Linked DNA regions of Canis lupus familiaris. The protein of the gene in region 2 interacts with the protein of the main gene of each other region in a pairwise test. Links are inferred from orthologs where the notes say so. Each region holds a gene or a part of one and is shown on either strand. Other genes may lie near its edges.

Region 1 (6,195 bases), on a different chromosome or scaffold from region 2:
TTTCCTCGTTTCTTTTGCTCCAGGATCCTGCCCTCAACCCAAACCAGACTGTTGTCCCTTCCTCTCTCCCTCCCTGCTCCCCCCCATTTCCACCTTCAGCCGACCCTATCACTTGTCCCCTACCACACGTTCATTCTGTTCCCCTCCTCTTCTCCCTCAAGTCCTACTGTGCAAGCCTTCGGGGCCTTGAAGCCGGAGAGGGGAAACTGAGAACCAGGACTGAAAGAGGAGGCAGCTGGAGTCAGCTCACAGTTGCTGATGCTGTGCTAGACGGCCAGACAGGAAGCATCTCCCCGGAGCTCTGACCCGCACTGTGCCCACCATCACCAAACCTCACCTCGTTCCCAGAACCTGGCCTTTCCACTGTGAGCTTCCTGCAAGAACCAGTCCTCTGCAGCCCGCACCTCGCTGTATCCCGGAAGTCCGCTGTGCTGCCAAGATGACATCATCGATGACATCATCACCTCAGTAACCCCACCCCAGGGTCCAAAGCCTGAGAGGCTGGCTAGCCCTGTGCACTCCGAGGGGACAGCAGGGTGTCGAGGAGAGAACAGGAACCAGAGGCGGTTCTGTTCCGTCCCTGCTCTGCCGCACATCAGCCTGTGGTACATGCAAGTCCCCTGTGGGCTTAGTCCCTCATCAGCCCGTCAGGTGGGATCATGACCTGGTCCACGTGATGTGTAAAGGGACGTCGGCCACCACTCTACCCCATGCCTGGGCCAATGCCTGGCCCTGAGAGGGCCTTCGAAGAATATTTTTGTAAGGATTGAAGAGATACGTAGATTTCTAATTAGAAAGCACCACGCTAAGATCCATGGGAGTCATTTTTCTAAGCAGCATCAAGAAAACCAAGCTCCTAGGTGTGGGGGCGAGTGAGAGGAGGGTCCACATGGCAGGGGCCCTGGGGAAATCCAGACCTCTGAGAGCGGGGGCAGCCGGTACGGCCACGCTCATGCACGCACGTATATCGCATGTGTGTGTGAAGATCACAGTCTAAATTTCAAGGTACCTCTGAAGAAAACACCCCTCCACGAATTCTGTGTGTTCCCGCGTGTGTCTGGTCTGCTGAAGCAGAACGGCCGGTGCACGGAGGGGCACGTTAGCCCTGTTAAGCCTGGCTAAGAAAGACTAACAGGTCGGTAGCACTGACGGTGTCCCCCAAGCAGGCCCCAAAGTCCAAACAGCGGCGCTGGGCGGGGCAGGGTGTGCAGAAAGGGAAGCTACATAGACCACGGAGATCAGAAGAAACAGACCTGATTGAAGCTGGAGATGCTAAAAATAAATAATCTGGGCTCTTTTTTGACTTGTTTGGAGCCCAGGCGGCCAGCGCTGACCTGATACGCAAAGGTAGACGAGGCTGGTGATGGGAAAGTGAGAAGGGAGCGGAGGGAGGGAGCAGAGGGAGGAGGGCCGAGGAAAGGGCTGCATCCTCGGGCGACAGGCCCAGGGCCTCCCGGGTCCTCCTGGACACAGAGCAGCCTAAACTCAGGGAAAGGCCCCCGAAACCCAGGGGGAAAGGCCGGTTTTTCGTTGACCAGGGGGTCAGGAGAGGAGAACCTTAACGTGGCTTGAAGCTAACTCAAGAGTAGAACCAGGGAGGAAGCCGCGCGCTGCTCATGCATCTGAGCCACGTGCCCCGGTGCGAGCAGGCAGGCCGGTCACTGCAGGGCCTCGGCCAGATGCCACCCCGTGAGCCAGCACGCTCCCACAGCATGGGCATCCTGATAAGCAGGCTGGAGCTGTGCAGTGCCAAGAGCACTGAGACATGGGGTCGGAAATTAAGAAAAAGGCGTGATCTCAAAGCGGTGGCCTCTGTGGGGCACCCGTGACCCTGCGTGCCTAGGAGGGCGGCGGGGCACAGAGTTGGAAGACGCCAGACGCGTGACCCACAGGAGCCTTTGGTTTTTGTGCGAGCAGTTTCATGAGACGTCCCTAGGCCTATTGCCAGGCCTGCCCCTGCGCCTCCCCACCATCATCCCAATTCCCCCCAGCTTCCTCCCTTCGGCCACCGATCTTTGGCCCAAGGAAAGCACAGCTCAGGAATTTCAACCCAACGAACCACCAATGCCCAAACCCCAAGGGCCCCTAATTCACAGCCAAGGACTCACATCATCCAGCTTCCGGTCTGTGCCCAAGGCCAACAGGTTGTTGAACTCTCGTTCCATCACCTGGCGTGCCTGGAGTCCATGGATGCAGAGACGGAGAGATGAGAGGGGTAGAGTTAGTGACCTCTCTGCCAGGCTGCTCCTGTTTCCTCGAGGCCCAAGGGCAGAGATGGAGCTTTCGGTGCATTTAACCCGCAAGCCCCAACGCTGCTCCTTCAGGCAAACCTCAGTGTCCTCTTAGAAGTGGACCTGTCAGCCTTAGGACTCTTTCCTGTGGGGCCCATTAGAAAACTGTAACTTTGCACAAAGTCAGACCACAGAATACGTTTGCACAGGTCACTTACGGGGGGAAAACCCTACATTCTGTGTATATGGGAAAAATCATGCGTCACTACCCTTCTGGAGGGTAAGTGAGCATGGAGACCATGGAAAATAAGGACTTAGTGTATTTAGATGAAAGAAACCTATTTCATAAGGCTCCACATCACAAATTTAAATCAGGAGGATGGCGCAGTCCTACGGCCTGTGGCTCCTGGGCGGACTCGTGCCTATAGGCCTTGACCAAACCTTCCAGGAGCCTAAGTCAGCAGGAGATTTGGGAAACGTCAGAAACAACAAAGTTTTGTAAACGGCCACCAGATACTCTCAACCACAGTTGGTGAAGAATTCCACACCGGGTCGGCTCCCGCCGCCCCTAACAGCTGCGCTAAATGGACCAGGCAGGAAAACCGGAAGGTTCGCAAGCGCCGGAGGGGCCTCCTGCTGCTCTGCAGAGGCGCGGACACGTGTGGACAGGAGACCGACGCTGGAGAAGAACAAGCCCATTTCTGGGTGGAAAACGTTAACCACGGAGCCTCGCAGGAACTGTCAGCATCGAGAAGGTGATTCTCATGAGTGATGCAAGAGGAGGAGCATCGTCCACTTCCAGGCATCCAGATGACACTGCTCCTCCGGTGACCGTCCCCCAAAGCTGTGGGGCGGGCGAGCACGTGCGGGGGAACTGGGGGATCTCAGCTTTGCTTAGGGAATTGAGGATCCATGTTCACTCTGCAGGTCAGCGGGGGGCCCACCGGGCCCGTGTGCCGCCCCGCACCCCCAAAGTACCAGCACGCCCCCAGGTTATGGGCCGACACAGCCTACCCTCACGCAGGCCGAGACACATCTGCTCTCGGAATAGCTTTTGTGGCTCTAGCGGCTGAATTTCAAGAGACCTGACAGCTGCAAACAGTCCAGACGAGGGCGGCTAAACCGATCAGGGCAGGAGGCGCGTCTATATGAGGAAAGCCTAAAAGAATTAGGACCACTCCGTCTGGAGCCCCAAAGGCCTGGGCTCCGCGCAACACAATCAGAGGCGGTGAAATGACAAGAGGTGAGGCCGGGTCAACCCCAATCAGTGTGGAGGAGGCCTGGACGGCGGGAGCCAGCACGACAGGAGGGGCTCCGGGCAACAGGTAGCACTTCCAGCGTCCGCCACCCACAGGAAGTTCAAGAGGCCAAATGTGTAAATTAGCCCAAGGGAGCTCAGGTAGTCCTGGACGACAGCTCCGCAGTGATTATGAAATGGGATTCAAGGAGACATCTCGTCTTCTCAGCTGTGGCAGGGACACAAAGCCCTGGCCCGGGGAGGCTCTGGGCTGTGGCATCTGGTGCAGTGAGCTCTCTCCACCCGCGGGGCCCAGAGGCCTGTCCTTCAGGCGGGGACAGAGGAGACGGCGGGCTCTCGGGTCCCCTCGGGCCCCAGGGCTAGTCCTCCTCTAAGAGCAGTCAGGTCAGAAAAGCAGAGCAAGGAAAGGTCGCCGCAGCGGTCAAAGGTGAAGGTGGGGCTTGTAGAGGGTGAGGGTGCCCACGGCAGCGTGGTCTGGGTGCCTGCCCGTCACGTGTGAAGGACACTTGCTTCCTAGGCGGCTTGGGGGTTCGAGGACATCGTGTCCCCCCGACACAGGCTCTAGCACAGTCCCCCCAACAAATCCCTAGCCTGTGTGTGTGAGCGGGAGGGGGAGAGGGCGGGAGAGTGGGGCGGGGGGACGGGACAGGGCTGCCCACCTGGGTGTTCTGCGTGGGGATCTGCAGGACCAGGGCCAGCGTGTTGTGGTCGAAGTTCTCGTCCAGGGCCAGCAGGGCTCCGTGCACGCCGCTCTCCTGCAGGTTTCCTGCGTAATCCCGGAGCCCAATGGACTGCACCCAGTGCACCACCTGGTCGTTGGTCCAGACGAGCACGTCTGCAGGGCACGGCAAGCAAGGGGCAGGAAGAAGCAACAGGTTCGGCCTGCAGAAGCGGGGCTCCCCGCGCCCAGTGCTCCAGTCCACCCGCTTCCCGTGTCCTCTCCCTCCTCCCCGGCACCCGGGCTCCTGAAGAAGCAGCCCCAGCACCCTCCACCCCTGCCAGACTCCAGGCCAGGTGGCTCTCGGCTTCCCCCGGAGCCCCTGCGGGGGCCGCCTCCTGCCCCTAGGCTGGCACCATCCCCTTCTTTCTCCACCTCCAAAGAGTCTTCTCAGACTTGTCTCCTTACTGCTCAGTGCCGCCCACATCACCAAGCCGCACGACCACCTTCCCACACCCGTCTACAGGACCGGCCTGGGGGTTCACTGTGCTGGTCCAGCCGGTGGCCACTGGCGGGCGGGGTGGGGGGTGCAGCTGACTGGGCAGGAACTGTTTCTTCTCCACCAGATGGCAACACCCTTCGGGCACAGACCATGTCCCTAGGTCTGGAGCTTCCCTGAGACACGGAATGCCTCCCCCGCCCGCCACTCACGCGGGGCAGGGGACGGTGAGGCAGGGGCCTGCCCCCCAAGGCTGCCCCCATGCTGGGCTGGACAAGCTTACCCTTGATCTCATGCTGGCTTTCCTCCCGTCGTCTCTCTAGCTCCTTCCGGTCGTAATTGAGCCTCTTCAGACACATGATGCCGTACTGAAGACTGGTCCTGCAGGCACACAGCCCTGAGCAGAGCCTCAGTGGGGCCACGTCCCTGTCCTCTGCCCCACGTCCAGCGCCAGCCACAACATGTCCAGGCCCATGTCTCCCGGCACACGCTGCACCCCAGCCCACCCCTGCGCCTCCTCCTCCAGGGGCATGCATGGGATTTGGTCCAAGGCTCCTTCCCCTCCACTGCCCACCCCATGTCCTCCCTCTAGGCCGGGTATGGGTCTGATTGTTGGAAGGACAGTTCTCTGAATGAAGCAACATCCCCCCCACTCTTTAGGCACTAGAATGATGCTACAGGTATCTGACTCATAACGATATGATGCTACAGAAAGAGCCCCACAGATATTTCTTTGATTCCCCATTTCACTCAGAGTCCTCACAATGACCTATGTAGGCTACATGATTTGCCTTTGTACACTGACTCCTGTCTGCCTGCAGCACTCCTTCCCCAATCCGTTGCATGACTCACCCCTGTCTCCTTTATGTCTCTCCTTAAATGTCATCTTCTCAATTCATTGGTCACCTTGTCCACCTGATTTAAAGCTGCAATGTCACCCTCATCACCGCAGCCCATATGGCTCATCCCCTTTACCTTGGTCTCATTTTTTCCCCTGGCACTTTTTATCTATTAATATATTAATAGATACATTAATATATCTATTAATATATATATACACACACGATAGATGGATGGGTGGGTGGATGGATGGATGGATAGATCAATAGATAGATGGATGAATGGATGGATGGATGGATCAATAGATGGATGGATGAACGGATGGATGGATGAACAGATGGATGGGTGGATGGAAGGATGGATGGATAGATCAATGGATGGATGGATGGATGCATGGATGCATGGATGGATCAATAGATGGATGGATGAACGGATGGATGGATGGATGGGTGGATGGAAGGATGGATGGATAGATCAATGGATGGATGGATGGATGGATGGATGGACAGATGGATGGATGAACGAATGGATGGATGGATGAACGGATGGATGGATCAATAGATGGATGGATAAATGGGTAGATGGATAGATCGATGGATGGATGGGTGGATGGAAGGATGGATGGATAGATCAATAGATGGATGGATGGATGGATGAATGAATGGATGGATGGATGAACGGATGGATGGATCAATGGATGGATAAATGG
Region 2 (6,195 bases):
GACCAATGGCAGGGGTGTAGGTCAGAAATGGGGACAGCTCTAAGCATCAGGGGCCTGTCCAAGCAGACTCACCGCCTGCAGCTTCTTCTTGGCAGCTTTGGCCAACTCAGACAGGTCTAGGCTGTAGATGAAGGAGGGAGATGGGAATGGGCAGACATTAGAGGTGGCCAGGCCCCCGCCTGTGACTCCAGAACATGCAGGGATCCCAGGAAGACAACATCCCAGATGCTGCACACCAAACACCCCCCCCAGCCCTCCCACCTCCAGAGCCTGCTCCCGCAGCAGGCACCATATACCTCTGAGACATGCACTTTTGCCGAGATCTAAGTCCAGAGGGAGGCAGCAGAGGAAAGAACAGGACAGAGGCACCAATTACCCAGGAGCAGGGCAGTGCAAGCCTTCCCGGGGCAAACTCATGCCCACCTCTGTGCACACGTGAGCCCCAGAGTGCACACAACAGAACTCGTCTCCCCCCACAACCTGCTCCTCCACAGGCTTGCTCTCTCCCTCTGTGCCCCACTCCCTGGGCACCTGTGTCCCCGGCCCCGGTGGAGCTTCCCCCAGCTTCTGCCCTCAGTCTCTCTTCCCTAGTCCTTTGCCAGAGTTGTTTTGTTTTGTTTTGTTTTTTTTAAGATTTTATTTATTTATTCATGAGAGACACAAAGAGGGAGAGAGAGAGAGAGAGAGAGGCAGAGACACAGGCAGAGGGAGAAGCAGGCTCCATGCAGGGAGCCAGATGTGAGACTCGATCCCAGGTCTCCAGGATCACGCCCTGGCTGAAGGTGGTGCTAAACCGCTGAGCAACAACCCCCCCCCGCCCCCTCCCCCTCCCCAGGGCTGCCTGTTTGCTAGAGTTTCTTCATCCATCTTCCCACTTCTGATCCTTCCCCTACAATCCCCTTTCCCACCCAGCAGCTGGGGTGATGTTTCTGACACACTGGGCCATGCTATTCCTGGCCTTAGAAACAACTCAATAACAAAATATGTGTATGGGGTATACTTTAACCGTACTTAAACAAAAAGCTCACTTAAACAATATGCTATGTGCTTGGCATGCATTATCTTACTTAATCCTCTCAACAGCCCAGAAAAGGCAGGAACTCTTGCCCTCAATGCCACGAGGTAACTAAGAGAGGTCAAGCAGCCTGCCTGAAGTCAAACAGCCAATAAATGGCAGAGCTGACTCCACACATCAGTGCTTGGAATCCTGTCTACTCCTGTGGGGGCTCACAGGACTGGCCATTCTCTCGCCTGTTTCTATCCCAGTCCTGTCCTGGGATTCCTCACACTATACTCCAGCCCCACAGACTGCCTGCAGTTCCCTGCACAGCACTTCCCACTTATATCATCTATGCCCTTATTTCTCTTGCGGTACTCCCCACAGGGAACTACAGCTGTCTTGAGTAGGCGGCCTCCCTCTCCATACTGCAAGCTCCTTTGGGGCAGAGATCACGTCTGAGTTACCTCTGTGTTTCAGGGCCGAGAACAGTAGCTGGCACCGGAACGGAGCTCGGTCACCATTTCACTGAGTACATGCCGATATGTGTTTGAAACACACACACCAGGCAGAGTAAGACCAGAGAAGCAGGAGGGTCGCTCGGCGTCTCAGAACAGAGTAGGTCTGGGTTCAAGGATCCAAGCTGCCTAGGCCTGACCATCCCTGTCTGCCCACACTGGCCTTCGGAGAGGAAGAGAGAGCCTCCTCTCTCTCAGACCCCCAGGCCAGCTGGCAAAGCCTGGCGAGGCTTGGCCATCAGAAGTGGCCACTAGGTGGCGCTAGCATCCATCTCGTAAGCTGAGTGAGTGGTCCCCACAGCCTAGGCGCCTGAGATCATCAAATCAGAGGCAGAAACACCTCAATAGTACTGTGCCCTGCACCCCAGCCCCTGCACAATTTCTGAGCACCCCACAGAGGCCTGCTCAGCAGTCCCGAAGTTAGTCAAATCCCTGGAGCCCACCATCTGTTCACCGAAGAACAGAGGTTTGTCTAAAGATTGTACAGTGGGGTGAGTGCCACTGGAAACAAGTCCGCAATCCACCACTCCTAGGGCAGGTGTTCTTGTACTCGAGCCTGTGTGGGATAGCCATAGGGCTCAGGCTGTGCTGGCCATATGTTGAGCTGACATCTCTCACCTGCCTGGGGGCCCAGCATCGGGGAGTGAGGACTGGGCAGAAATGCCAGCCCCCAGAGAGTGGAGGACCCTACAGCCTGGGGAGATGGAAGGGTGGAAGCTCTGGGCTCAGGCACCCACATGGCATCCAACAGCCTCTGGGAAGGGGCATCAGGTGGGCACTCACCTGTCAGCCATCTGTGGGATGATGTAATGCCCATTCTTGTGATCTGAACAAAAATAAAAATGCCAAGTCACTGGTGCAAGCTGGCCTGGGCAACTGGGAGCCCATCTCACTGCCATGAGCAGGGCTTGGCACCCAGAAGTGTCAGGGGACAGGGAGGAGGGCAGGCCACCCCCAAGAGCCATGGGAGCTGACTGAAGTTGTGCCCACCCCCACTCCTATCCCAGTGTGCTGTAGCCAAGAGCCTGCATCAATTTCACAGGAGCCAGTTGCCTAGCAACACCGTTCCCCAGCCAGCTTTGTCACCATGGCACCTGCTGCTGGGGTGTGTCTGGGTCCCACCTGCCTGGCCCTCCCAGGCCTGCCCGGAGCTCTGCTCACCCGGCTTGCGTCCACAGAGATAGAAGGCCAACCGGTCAGTGAGCTCATACTGGCACTCGACTAGCCTTTCCGCCAGCTCATGGTGCCCCGCCTGCCTGTGGGGAGGGGGCATGCCTCAGCCCTGCAGCAGCAGCCTAGCACCCCCACCCGCCAAAGCCTCACCCACCATCTGACCCTCACCTGGCATAATCAATGGGTGTGCGGCCATTCACATCAGGGGAGCCTGGGTCAGCCCCATACACCACGAGCAGCTCAGCCTGCAGTGTCTGCCCCGCCTTGGCAGCCACGTGCAGAGGTGTGGTGCCCTTCTCTGGATGGAAGAAGTTGGCTTGGGCACCCAGGGACAGCAAGCGCAGACACGTCTCCAAGTTGCCTGTCCGAACACTTGAGTGCAGTTGCTGCAAGGAGCAGAGTGTGCCACTGATGTGTGTATGAGGCCCTGCCCCTCCTCAAGCTGTACCACGTCAGGCAGCTGCTGGGACTCCTACCAGCTCCAGGGGCCCAGCTGAAGTTGGGTTGTCAGGGAGGACAGAGGACTTCCCCCAAGGAGTTAATGCCAAACAAGAGCTGCCATCAGTCACTGGCTACCTGGGCTGCGAACTCTGGTTGAGACAGATGTTGTCTATGAGGGAGATGCTGTTCGTTCTTTCCCATTTTACAGAGGAGACTGAGGCTCTGAGTGGCTAAGAAATGGCCCCAAGTCTTCACAGCATTTGAGTGGCAGATGGAGGATTTTAGCCCTGTTGTGTCCACTTGGGAGCTGAGGGGCCTTGACCACATGCTACCTGACCACACAATCTTGTCCCCCTGCTGTACCCCCTATTCTTGCCTGACCTGAACACCTTTGAGGCCTAGGGCTCAGTGGTGATGCAGGAGAGGCCCTAAAGGGTGTCACAGGTGACAAGAGAGGAGGCCCACCCATCCCCCATGGGGCCCCTCCAACCTTGCTGAGATCTTTGGCAGTCACCCCATCATCGTCCCGGCAAGGAAGCTTGTGCACAAACGCCAGCATCTGGTACTTGGCCCTGATGAATTCTGACTTGATGGGGCTGGGCAGGGCGCATAGGATGCGACGGTGAGCAGAGCGGGAGAGGCCAGTCACCGGTCCACCTCTTGGACCCGCATCTCAGACCATGCACCCCCTGCCACCACCCCTCTGGCCCAACTCACTGGACTTTGTCTTGGGGGTTGGCTTTGCGCCGGCCACTCTGCACTTGTGCAGGGTCCAGCAGGGAATGCTCCCAGATGGAGTTGGCCCCGTTGCTGGCGAGCGTGTGCACCATCTGCAGGGAAGAGGTGCCAAGTCAGGGTGCCCACTGTGCACCGGCTACTGGGGGAAACCCCTCCAAGTGCTGGCTGCAGCCAGCGGAGCTAGAAGCAGTACCAATGGGCCTCCTGTGTACCTGCCACCGGTGCACCTTCAACTAGGTGGGCCACTCGAGCATGTGGGTCCCACTTGGCACTTCAGGTGGCACAGCAAGCGTGCCAAGGCTCAGAGAAGTTAAGTGACTTGCTCAGTGCTACATGGCCAAGCTAGTACATGGCAGAGCTGGGGTGAGTGCCCAGATCTGTAAGACCCCAGTCTTAGAAGCCTCCTGTCTGCATGGCTAGCATAATGGGCGGAAAGGGTCAGAGTCAGGTTCTGCCCCAGGTGAGTGCTGCCCTTTGGAAGCTGCCAAAATCCCGAGCAGAGTGAGTGTAGGGGGAAACGTGTCCATGCTCAGCACATTCTGCAGAATGAAGACCCGCCCGGCCTAGCCCCGTACCTGCAGCAGTGTGGGAGGCCAGGCGCTGTGGCGAAGGTGCTTGACGATGGAAATGTGGCGGCCCAGGCTCCGGTGCACACTGCAGCACTCGTCACACACCAGCACTCCCCTGCTGATGGAAGCCCAGCCGGGGTCTGCCAGTGGGGGAACCAGGGTCAGCCAAGGCCAGATCACAGGCAATGTCTCCTGGGCACCTGCTCTGGGCTCACACCATGCTCACACGTTCCCTTACTCAGCTTCCCAAAGCCCCAGGAGCTGGGACCATCAGGGCACACAGGTTACTGATGAGGAAGCTGAGCCATGGCGTAGGAGGGATTTCCCCAAAGGCTCACAGCAGGTGACTGGCAGCTGTGCCCCTGCCTACACATCTCTGCCTGTCTAGGGGTGAGTGGGGGGAGTGGTCCCCAGGGTCTACTCAGCCGGCACATCTTCTTGTCCTGCAGCCTTTCCCAGGGAACAAGACAATTGGCTAGCCCTTCCCCCGGAGGCAGGAATCCCCTAAGGGATGCAACATTGCTGTAGCGTGCCAGACAACCCTAGGTACCCCTCCTGTGTCTGGGTCAGTGCCACATGCCTCCTGCACCCAGGCTTCTGCTGGACCCACTGGCCCACCAGCCCGACCCACTGTATGCTTCCATGGGCTCCTGCCTCTGTCCTCGTCTTGGCAGGCAAGAGGCCTTCTCATGCTGAGCTTCCTGGCCTCATCACTGATGGGCTGAGCCGGAACCCCTCTTAACTGGGATGGAGAGGGCAAAGGAACTAAAACTGGATACCCACTCTGTACTAGCTGGGCCTGTATGCACGATGTCTCTCACAACTGTTAGGCAAGGCAGGAAGCGCTACCCTTGCTATACCAATGAGAAACAGTGGCTCAGAGAGATTAGAGTGCTGGCTCAAGGTCACAAAGCTAGTGAGTGGGGTTGCTGGGATGTGGACCCAGCACAAGATGCCAGAAACCGTGCCCTGTTCACACCCACTGCTCTCCTTCTGCTCCTGCCCCTAAGGAAGAAGCCCCAAGTGGGCAAGGGCCCTGGAGGGCACTCTCCACTACTTGGAGAGAAGCAAACTTTGGAAACAAGAAGAGGGGGCCAGGATAGGGTCCTTCTCAGGGGCAGGGGAGATGTCGCCCATCCCCGGCCCCTTGGGAGAGGGGAGGAGACAGCTGCATACAGCTCAGGCTGTGGAAAGGTCACAGGGGAGAAAGCAGCCATTGTGTGCCTCCAAGAGTGGGGGCAGGGAACCTCTCTCCCAGGACACTGTGCTCTGCCCAGGCCCCCTGCCCCAGTCTCAGGAAGTCCAGAAGTGGGCCCCCCAGCGGAGGGACAGGCTTGGGATAATGAGAGTCTCTCCAACCAGAAGGTGATTCCCAGACCCTTCCCCTGAAGGACTTCCATAGAAGTTCCAGGAGAACTGTAAGGAGATTGAGTCAGGGTGAAGCCTGAGTTCTGCCTACAGCAAGTATTCCCTCTATGGAGACAGGAAGAAACAAGAAGTGAAAGAGGGGGTTCAGCTCTTTAGGTCTGGGCTTCTTTGGGCAGCCCCTCAAGAAACAGGACAACCAGCTGCCTGTCATACACCTTCCTGGGAGTTGACTTCAGAGGCCCATGAGGAAGGGACCCACCACCTGTGCCAAGAGGGGGAGCCTAGAACACTCCTTAGTATTGGCTTTCCCCAAACAGTGAGGCACCCCAGTGAGCCACATGAAAGCTCCCTCCCCCCACTCCCAAGCACCACTGGGTGAGGGGTCTGCCCA

The links.
Region 1: the proteins of GIT1 (region 2) and PPFIA4 interact in a two-hybrid assay, tested with the Homo sapiens proteins (2 studies listed by BioGRID). The link is inferred for Canis lupus familiaris from reciprocal best matches to the Homo sapiens genes GIT1 and PPFIA4.

Annotation. Positions count from the first base shown.
Region 1 is NC_049228.1:253,651-259,845, forward strand, and holds part of PPFIA4 (liprin-alpha-4), read right to left. Parts: intron 5,028-6,195; coding exon 4,930-5,027; intron 4,785-4,929; coding exon of another isoform or gene 4,616-4,784; intron 4,325-4,615; coding exon 4,149-4,324; intron 3,391-4,148; exon of another isoform or gene 2,178-3,390; coding exon 2,109-2,177; intron 1-2,108. UniProt on the Homo sapiens protein: May regulate the disassembly of focal adhesions. May localize receptor-like tyrosine phosphatases type 2A at specific sites on the plasma membrane, possibly regulating their interaction with the extracellular environment and their association with substrates.
Region 2 is NC_049230.1:43,653,253-43,659,447, forward strand, and holds part of GIT1 (ARF GTPase-activating protein GIT1), read right to left. Parts: intron 4,577-6,195; coding exon 4,443-4,576; intron 3,960-4,442; coding exon 3,847-3,959; intron 3,726-3,846; coding exon 3,620-3,725; intron 3,075-3,619; coding exon 2,857-3,074; intron 2,772-2,856; coding exon 2,677-2,771; intron 2,342-2,676; coding exon 2,299-2,341; intron 324-2,298; coding exon 297-323; intron 122-296; coding exon 73-121; intron 1-72. UniProt on the Homo sapiens protein: GTPase-activating protein for ADP ribosylation factor family members, including ARF1.